2 linked regions of the Arabidopsis thaliana genome follow. The protein of the gene in region 1 binds, or shares a complex with, the protein of each later gene. Each region holds a gene or a part of one and is shown in the gene's direction. Other genes may lie near its edges. The genes, in order: AT1G76200 and AT2G02510.

Region 1 (3,879 bases):
TTACACTTAATATCATGATGAAGTGATTTAGATTTGTTGGCTGTAAAAAGTTTTTAAAAAATGATTTGCAGGATTTTCATGTGACGAGAAAAAGAAAAACAACGAACACTCATGAAAGTAGAAGAGAGAACTATAAAATGAAAAGTAGCAAGCAACTTGCTCGAAACGCTCACATGTTTCTATCATTACCTTTGCGCTCTGCAACTACTTTAGTATCTTGTTAAAGAAAAAGTGGTAATAGTTAGTATTATTTGTAATGTTATGGTCTGTCAATACACTAGCTTAGCTTGATTTGATTAACTTAATTTCCAAATAATGAGATACTGTCTACATGGTGATATAGCTTTGTCAAAGTTCATTAATGACAATGACAAAAACAAGTGTGTTAGTAACCAAGATAATTGCATTTAGTCGTAATTCATGTTTTGAAACGGAAATAATTAGAAAGATCGAAAATCTCTAGATATTTGTAGAAGGTCAGTACATAACTCCACGAGTGGTCGTGATCCAATTTGTGGACAAATTTGAAAAGCAACTAAAAACAATCAAATAAGCACGAACATCCTTTTCCCTCCACACACATCAAAATCCACAGTTTGGTCCATATATTGCTATATATATAGAGAAGCAGTTAGGCATTTAATTAAGGTTGCATACAGACAGATACATACGCAACGAAACTATCAAAGCCGAAGTAACACACACACAAAAATCATATGAAGAAACTAAATTCTAAAGGGATTAGACTCTCCGAATTGATGGAGAAATGGAGAAGAAGGAAGAAAGGGCACTTCGCTGTGTACACGAACGAAGGGAAGAGATTCGTTTTACCATTGGATTATCTGAATCATCCGATGTTACAGGTGCTATTGCAAATGGCTGAGGATGAGTTTGGGACTACCATTGATGGTCCTTTAAAAGTTCCTTGCGATGGAAGTTTAATGGATCACATCATCATGCTTGTGAGAAGGAGCATGTCCCATGATTATGATGATGTGGAGAAGTCTTCCACGAGCAGCACCTGCAAGGGAGCTTCAATCTCTTCTCTCTTTCGTGGACAGAGCCAGCTTCAGTCATTAGTTTCCTAACCATTTGGAGTAATTGTTAACTTTTTTTGGAGAAGGGTTGTTCTATTTTGTGTATACCAACATGATCTTGTAATAAATTAATTATTGTAATGTATCAATGATACAGTATCATCATTTGATTTTGAGTCTTTTTTTGACGGTTAAAACAACGATTTGGGACGAAGTTATAGGCCCTGAATGGATGCTGATTTTGGATTCAGTTTTTGAATTTAGATTTTAGTTTATAGATTTTAGATTTTAGTTTCAGATTTTTATTATTATATTTTTGTTTCAAAAACCCCAAAAAATTGGTTTTTGGTTTTTGAGAAAAATAACGTTGATTGAGTAAAAACTAGATTTCCTAAATTTTAGGAGAACTAAAAAACTAAAATCATGAATGGAAAACTACAAGAAAATAATTTTTCTAAATTGTAGGGAAACCAAAATTTTAAAATCTTGATTGGTATGAAAATAAGTTTTTGGAAAACAAAAACCAAAAACTCTTACAAAATCTACAAAACATTCAATTCATGTATCCAAACTTCTTAAAGGGCCCAAAAAGGAAGAAAACATTGTGAAAGAAACAGATATAGAAATGGGCCTTTGGTCTTTAAATTGGGCCTAAGCCTTTTAATTGAGGCCTTACTAAAAGTGACGACTCACATGGTTGAATCAAATCTCAGGTAGTAAATTGTCAAAGCTGAGGAGAAAGAAAGCTTTTTCGGTCTGAAATTGAAGTGCGAATCGGGGAATCTAGGGTTTCGAGAGAGAGATAATGGGTGGAGGAGGACATGGCGGAGGTATAACTTACAAGGGAGTCACTGTCCACACTCCCAAGACTTGGCACACCGTCACCGGAAAAGGCTTGTGCGCCGTTATGTGGTACATTTCTGATTTCTCTCTTTCACCTAATTCGCTTTTGATTTTGGGACCTAGCTAATCTCGATCGTAGCTAGATCTCGCCATGGGGATTTTGGGCTAATTGATCATCTGAGGAATTTTGTATATAGAATCCATTTGAATCAAAAAATTGGATTTGTCAAATTAGTATCGGAGCTAATCAGGTAGATGTTAATTTGAATCAGATATTGCTTATGTCAATTTCAGTTCGATGAGAATGGTTGAAGAAGTAATCGCACATAGGTTTTAACTTTCCCTAGCATTCACATCTTAAAAACTCAATTTTTGGTATTTTCAGGTTCTGGATTCTGTACAGGGCAAAGCAAGATGGTCCTGTAGTTATGGTAAAACTCTTTCATTTTTTATCTTTGTCTCGCTTTTGTAAATTTTATTGGTCCTAATATCTTTCGTGGTGGCTGAATCTGATCTTGCTATTGGCAATGGATAGGGATGGAGGCACCCTTGGGATGGTCATGGTGATCACGGTCACGGAGATCATCACTAGGTAATGTCTTTACTAGTAGTATTGTCGATGGAATCATTAAGAAAGATGATTAAAAAATCTCCTTTTTCGTAGTAAACACGCATTATTGTTTATACCGTATAGCAATTCCTCAATGAAGCTAATGTCTATGCATAATGTAGAGTAGCATTTCTAAGTTGTCACTTACTAACAAGATCTCTTGTTAACTGCTATCTAGTTGGTTTTGAAGAAAGATGATAGCTTTGATCTGGTTTTGGTTCATACAAGTGGTGAAAGTTTAGAGGATCTTTAACTTCTCTATAGGATGTTCTTGATTTATATCTACTAGAATGAATCATTGAAACTCTCGGGAGTGAATGAAAATTGAGTGCCTTTATTGTGAATGTTTGTTATTAGTTTAGTGGTACATGTTTTGAGTTTTCTCTTTGTTTAGACATTGATGATTTGTAGTTATCCTCGAGTTCACCTTTCATGTAACCATATAAGCATTGCTCAAACTACTTGACACTAATCTGGTTTTGGGTTTTGCTGCTAGGTCTCACTGAACCTTTGAAGATCATGACGAAAAAAGGATCGTCTCTTGTTTTTTTCTTAATTTTCAGCTTCATATGTCGAAATAAAGAGAACTGTGAAGAAGACGTGAATTGTTTTTGTACACAACTTTGTAAGACTTGCTGCTTCTGTTTTAAGTTACTACTTGTGTGTTGCACTTCCTGATCATGTTGTTATTTTGCTGTCAACAAATTAATTTGAAATAAAACGCATTGCGAGATTCGTGTTTTTAGATCCAGCCTCCAATGATACGAATTACAAAGAAACACTAGAAATTAGTTATATTCGCTGTGTTAAGTATACAAATTAACACTTACGAAACTGAATTTGTTAATGGTTTTTATAACTATATCTGAAAACCAAAAAAAATATGCAAAATCATCAAATTGAAAATGTCTATTCTAGCAACATGAATTGTGAATAAATAAACAAACATCTATAATTCAAATTTTACTTGAATAACAATTTCATTTTGACTCTATTTTTGGTGAAGACAAAAAGTGTGCCTTCAACTTCAAGTCTTTAATCCAAGTAGCCAGTTTAGGAAACGGGTAAAAAAATAAATTATATAGAATAAAAGAATTTGATGTTGCAAACTTGAAAATAAGTTTACAAATCAATCTATTTAATGTTAACTAAACATGTCCGCTTGAAGCAAAACCTAACCGATCCGGACATATCATATATTATCTAGTTGGTGAGAATATTAAGAAGTGAAACTCTCGTCTGAATCAATCGCCGGAAAATAGATTCCAACTCTATTTCAAGCTCCACTACAGTAATCTCCGCCGCCTCCAACCTCGTAGTCGCGCTTTGCACCGCAGTCTCGTCCCATTCATCATCTAACAAATAGGAAGACCGAATGGAAAAGATCGA
Region 2 (4,258 bases), on another chromosome or scaffold:
ATCTGTTACCTCTAGACCTTCACTGTTTTAGATATAGAACACAAATAGTAATCAATCTTTTTATATTCTAATCCACACTTCAGAAAATCATTTGAAGGTTCACAAACCTTTTTACAAGCTCGAAACCCTTTTTCAATAGCTCTGGTTTGATCACCTACAGAAAAAGCATGCATTATTGAAGTGGTTTGAAACCAAAAATCAATCAACAAAGCATGAGTATACTTTAAAACCTGTGGTGTCTGCATTTCCCATAGGGTTTTTCTGTCGAGAGTTTTCACCACAAGCGAATCAGAATTGACCTGCATATCGCAAAATGGAACAAGTCGAATATCGAGAATGTGGTGATGACAAAAAAAAAAAAAACTAACTTAAGATTTTGTACCTCTTTGATTGTAGCTTTAGCAGGAACACCAAGTACAGCTGCTCCAACCGCGGAACCATCTTTAAGGACCTTAACAAAATACAACAGTGCAATAAATTCTAAAGGGACTTCGAGAATTTTGTTTCATTCTCCTTAATCTTTTGCTACTTCTCATAAGTATACCTTCTCGACATCTTCAGTATTCACCAATGGTCGGGCAGAGTCGTGGATACAAACAAGCTCAGAGTTCACATCGATTTCCTATGAGAAATAAACTTGAAGCTTATATGAACTAGAACAGACAGTATGTTGTAGAATTATTTCTTTTGAGTAAATGATTCATTGGATATGTTAATCAAAGCAACGGAGGTATAAACCTGAAGTCCACTGTAAACAGAATCTTGTCTTTCTTTGCCAGGAATAGCGAATCTAAGATCAACATCAATTGATTCTTCGTATTCTAGAACACCACAAAACAAAAAGAGGCTCAGAGAAATCTTTGGAACATCTCTCAACCAAAAACATAACTAATGAGAGAAAGAGAGACTAAAAAACCTTCAAAAATGTCTCTGAAAAAAGGATCACATACAACTACAATTTCCTTCACTTCAGGCATACGTGAAAACGTGAAAAAGCTGCAACAATGAAACATAAAATTCAACGAACACAAAGCAAAGATGGTTCAATACTAATAGACAAGTAGATTCCGCAGAATGAAAAAACAGTCAAATTACAACTCTTCCATCAATCAAACGAGACTGTAATTAGTTATCAGAAACAGATTCAAACAACATACAAGACTTAACCAATCAACTGACTTTCAAGTAAGAAATGTTACCTATACAAAGCAATTGGCTGACCAAGAAGTGGTATGTACTGCTTTGGCATACTCATCTATTCACATTACATAGAAAAACAAACAACTCAACAGAACAAACAATTAAAACTCGAGCATAAAGTTTGAAACTTTCATCCCAAAAACACTTACTTTCATTCTCTTGCCTTGACCTCCAGCTAAAAGAATCACAGATACACTCTTCTCCTTCACAACAACATTGCTCTGAAAAACATTAGAGATAAAAAAAAAGCTTCAAAATTTGAGTTGATTCAAAACTTTAAACTTACATTCACAGCATTGCTCTGAAAAACAAAAAAAACTTAAACTAGAGATAAAGCTTCAAAACTAAGTGATTCCAAGTTTTGAACTAACACTTACATTATCAAATCCAGTCGATGAAGAACACTTGATTGACAATAATAAAGCATCTCTTTTGTAGCTTCTATTAACCCTTTTCGAAAAATCCAGTTTTTGAACTGAAAAATCAACATTCAGAAACAATCAAAAATCTCCTCACCGAACCAGAGATTCATTGGTTTGAACGTATATAAAGAGTATGAGAAATTGCCTTGAGAACGATAGCTAAACCACAGATAAGAGTTCAATTTGACTTTAAGCTTCGGACACAGAAATGTCGGAGAAGTAATGAAGCCAAGATTCGTCTGAAGCATCGCCATGTTTTATCTCGCCTGAGAGAAGAAGAAAGCTCCGGTTCCTCGGAGAACCAATATATATATAAGGCCAACTAAAAACAATAAGCCCATCAGGCCCATTAAAAACTCAGTAATACTAATGGGCTTTTAATAAGGCCCATAATTCAATACAGTAAAACAACACAACAAAGCTAAAGAGAAAGAAAAAAACGTAAAAATCGAAGAAGACCGGAGAAAATGGCGAAACCGTTGGGAACAACCGGTGAATTTTTCCGGCGAAGGGATGAGTGGAGGAAGCATCCGATGCTATCGAATCAAATGAGACACGCACTTCCAGGTATCGGAATCGGTGTTGGTGCCTTCTGCGTTTACCTCGTCGGTGAACAGATCTATAGCAAACTCATGGCTCCTTCTTCTCAATCATCGCATCAGAAACAACCCGCTCCATCTCACTGAGAGAATCATTAGGTAAAATAAAAATCAAATCTTCTCGAATTTGTTTTGCTTCTCGGAGGTTTATATCCTAAATCGATTTGACTTCTCTGTGAAAGATTGGATAAACAAAAACTTTGGCAAAGTTCTTAGAATGTCACGTTTGAGGAAGATAGAGTAAGATTTTTGCATATGGTTAGAATCAAGTTTTGGGATTAGTCAAAGTACATGTTTTTTGTCTAATTTCAGTGATTGAAATTTCAAAGTTAGAAGCTTTATTGTCAATGGCTAATGTGTATTAGTCTGAGATGAATCCATTCCTTGCAAGCAAAGATGAATAAACACTTTGAGACTAATACAAATAGTTATGAGATTTGAAGTCAAGTTTTGTGGAAGATAGAGTAAGATTTGTGCATATAATCTAGGAATATGGTTAGAATCAAGGTTTGGGATTAGATCATGTTTTTGTCTAGTTTCAGTGATTCAATGTTAGAAGCTTTATTGTCAATGGCTAATGTGTGTATTAGTTTGAGATGAATCCATTCCTTGAGGTAATGTATAGAGCAAAGCTGAATAAACACTTTTGAGACTAAAACAAATGGTTATGGCTTTTAGAATCCTGAAGTATTGGGATTGGATCGGTCACATGTTTATGGTTACGGCTTTCAGTGATTATCTTTATGTACACTCTTAAAAGTTACCAGCTATTATTAGCATATTGCTAATTAGTATCTGTTATCTTTCAGATCAATTTCAAAATGTCTATACGTATCTGTGATGATTAATGTGTAGCATTAGCTTTGTCTGATTTCTGTGTTTGTTGGTTCTTTGCTTTAATACTAATGATCTGAAAGATAGGTGTCATTTTTTGTATCTTTTCTTCTATGAGACCCTCTTTGGTGTTTGGCTCTGAATCTTTTTTTGTAAAAGGTTGTATACTAAAGGAAATTACTCATGTTGTTGCAGATTGTTTCGATGATGAAAACCGTGGCAGATAAAGAGCTGATGGATTCACAATTTGCTGTTTTTTTTGTTTCTTGGATTGTCTCAATAAGCTGTGAATGAAAGACAAAGACTCTGATCTCTATGTTGAATGTTATAATCTTGTATGACAGTTTCCAGTACATGGTTTCGTTATGTGATTTCTTTGCTTAATAGTAGTTCTTCTAAGATGACACTGGAGAATAAAGATTGCCTCTTATGTGATACAAGCAGTCGTTTTTGTGCGATATCATTAGCAAAGGCTTTTTAACAACGTCAATGATCCTCCTTATTGGCTATGGTTAAGACGAATGTAAAAACTCGAGTGGTTTGAAACCAAAAATCAATATCATATGAAGCATGAAGCATGAAGGTTGTTATATGAAGCATTTACACGGTACAGTTTGTTTATCCTTTTACTTACATCACATGTATGGTTAAATTGTATTGGTACATAACTACATATCAATCCTAATGATTTATTTCATATTAGAAATTAAATCTTGCCAATGAAATTAGTCAAATCACCACATTTATTCAGTTACATATAACTTTCTTTCTATATGAAATTATCTAGTCAAAATCTTTTTTTTTTGGACAGAAATCTAGTCAAAATCTATGATATTAATTGTCTTTTTTTTTGTCACAGCATATAATTCTAGTCAACAAAAAGATAAGTATATTGCTTTATGCTATTTTTGTCACAACAATATAAATAAAAATCTAGGTTAGACATTTGCAAACACAAAACAAAATATGAAGATGATTCTGAAGCTCCCCGCAATAACAATGGTGGCTACTTTGCTTCTTCTTGCATCTGGTCTTGGTCATGCTAGGATTGAACCTTTTTCTCCTACGCTAAAGCCAAAATTTCAAATCGATTCTAAACCGTTTAATCCACCGGTTATTCCAACCGAACCATTTCCTCCACCTCCACCGAACCATGACGCGATGATATCAGTGCAACAATTCCCAGTTATACCTTATTGTCCT

The links.
Region 2: the proteins of AT1G76200 (region 1) and AT2G02510 are in contact, whole or in part, in a cryo-EM structure (PDB 8BEH), measured with the Arabidopsis thaliana proteins. Residues at the interface, in NP_565128.1 of Arabidopsis thaliana: Ile10 (codon at 1,870), Thr11 (codon at 1,873), Tyr12 (codon at 1,876), Lys13 (codon at 1,879), Val15 (codon at 1,885), Val17 (codon at 1,891), His18 (codon at 1,894), Thr19 (codon at 1,897), Lys29 (codon at 1,927), Cys32 (codon at 1,936), Ala33 (codon at 1,939), Trp36 (codon at 1,948), Phe37 (codon at 2,267), Leu40 (codon at 2,276), Tyr41 (codon at 2,279), Lys44 (codon at 2,288); in NP_178355.1 of Arabidopsis thaliana: Glu17 (codon at 2,138), Trp18 (codon at 2,141), Lys20 (codon at 2,147), His21 (codon at 2,150), Pro22 (codon at 2,153), Met23 (codon at 2,156), Leu24 (codon at 2,159), Leu32 (codon at 2,183), Pro33 (codon at 2,186), Gly34 (codon at 2,189), Ile35 (codon at 2,192), Ile37 (codon at 2,198), Gly38 (codon at 2,201), Val39 (codon at 2,204), Ala41 (codon at 2,210), Phe42 (codon at 2,213), Tyr45 (codon at 2,222), Leu46 (codon at 2,225).

What each region holds. Positions count from the first base shown.
Region 1 is NC_003070.9:28,591,509-28,595,387, forward strand, and holds AT1G76200 (NADH dehydrogenase ubiquinone 1 beta subcomplex subunit), read left to right. Parts: upstream 1-1,702; 5' UTR 1,703-1,842; coding exon 1,843-1,949; intron 1,950-2,265; coding exon 2,266-2,311; intron 2,312-2,415; coding exon 2,416-2,472; intron 2,473-2,986; 3' UTR 2,987-3,242; downstream 3,243-3,879. Other genes in the region: AT1G76190 (SAUR-like auxin-responsive protein family), read left to right, coding at 717-1,088; AT1G76210 (DUF241 domain protein, putative (DUF241)), read right to left, coding at 3,694-3,879. UniProt on the Arabidopsis thaliana protein: Accessory subunit of the mitochondrial membrane respiratory chain NADH dehydrogenase (Complex I), that is believed not to be involved in catalysis. Complex I functions in the transfer of electrons from NADH to the respiratory chain.
Region 2 is NC_003071.7:671,249-675,506, forward strand, and holds AT2G02510 (NADH dehydrogenase (ubiquinone)s), read left to right. Parts: upstream 1-2,011; 5' UTR 2,012-2,089; coding exon 2,090-2,308; 3' UTR 2,309-2,320; intron 2,321-3,250; 3' UTR 3,251-3,738; downstream 3,739-4,258. Other genes in the region: ISPD (Nucleotide-diphospho-sugar transferases superfamily protein), read right to left, coding at 1-22, 108-154, 231-299, 383-451, 545-622, 739-821, 917-996, 1,200-1,255 and 3 more; AT2G02515 (uncharacterized protein), read left to right, coding at 4,022-4,258. UniProt on the Arabidopsis thaliana protein: Accessory subunit of the mitochondrial membrane respiratory chain NADH dehydrogenase (Complex I), that is believed not to be involved in catalysis. Complex I functions in the transfer of electrons from NADH to the respiratory chain.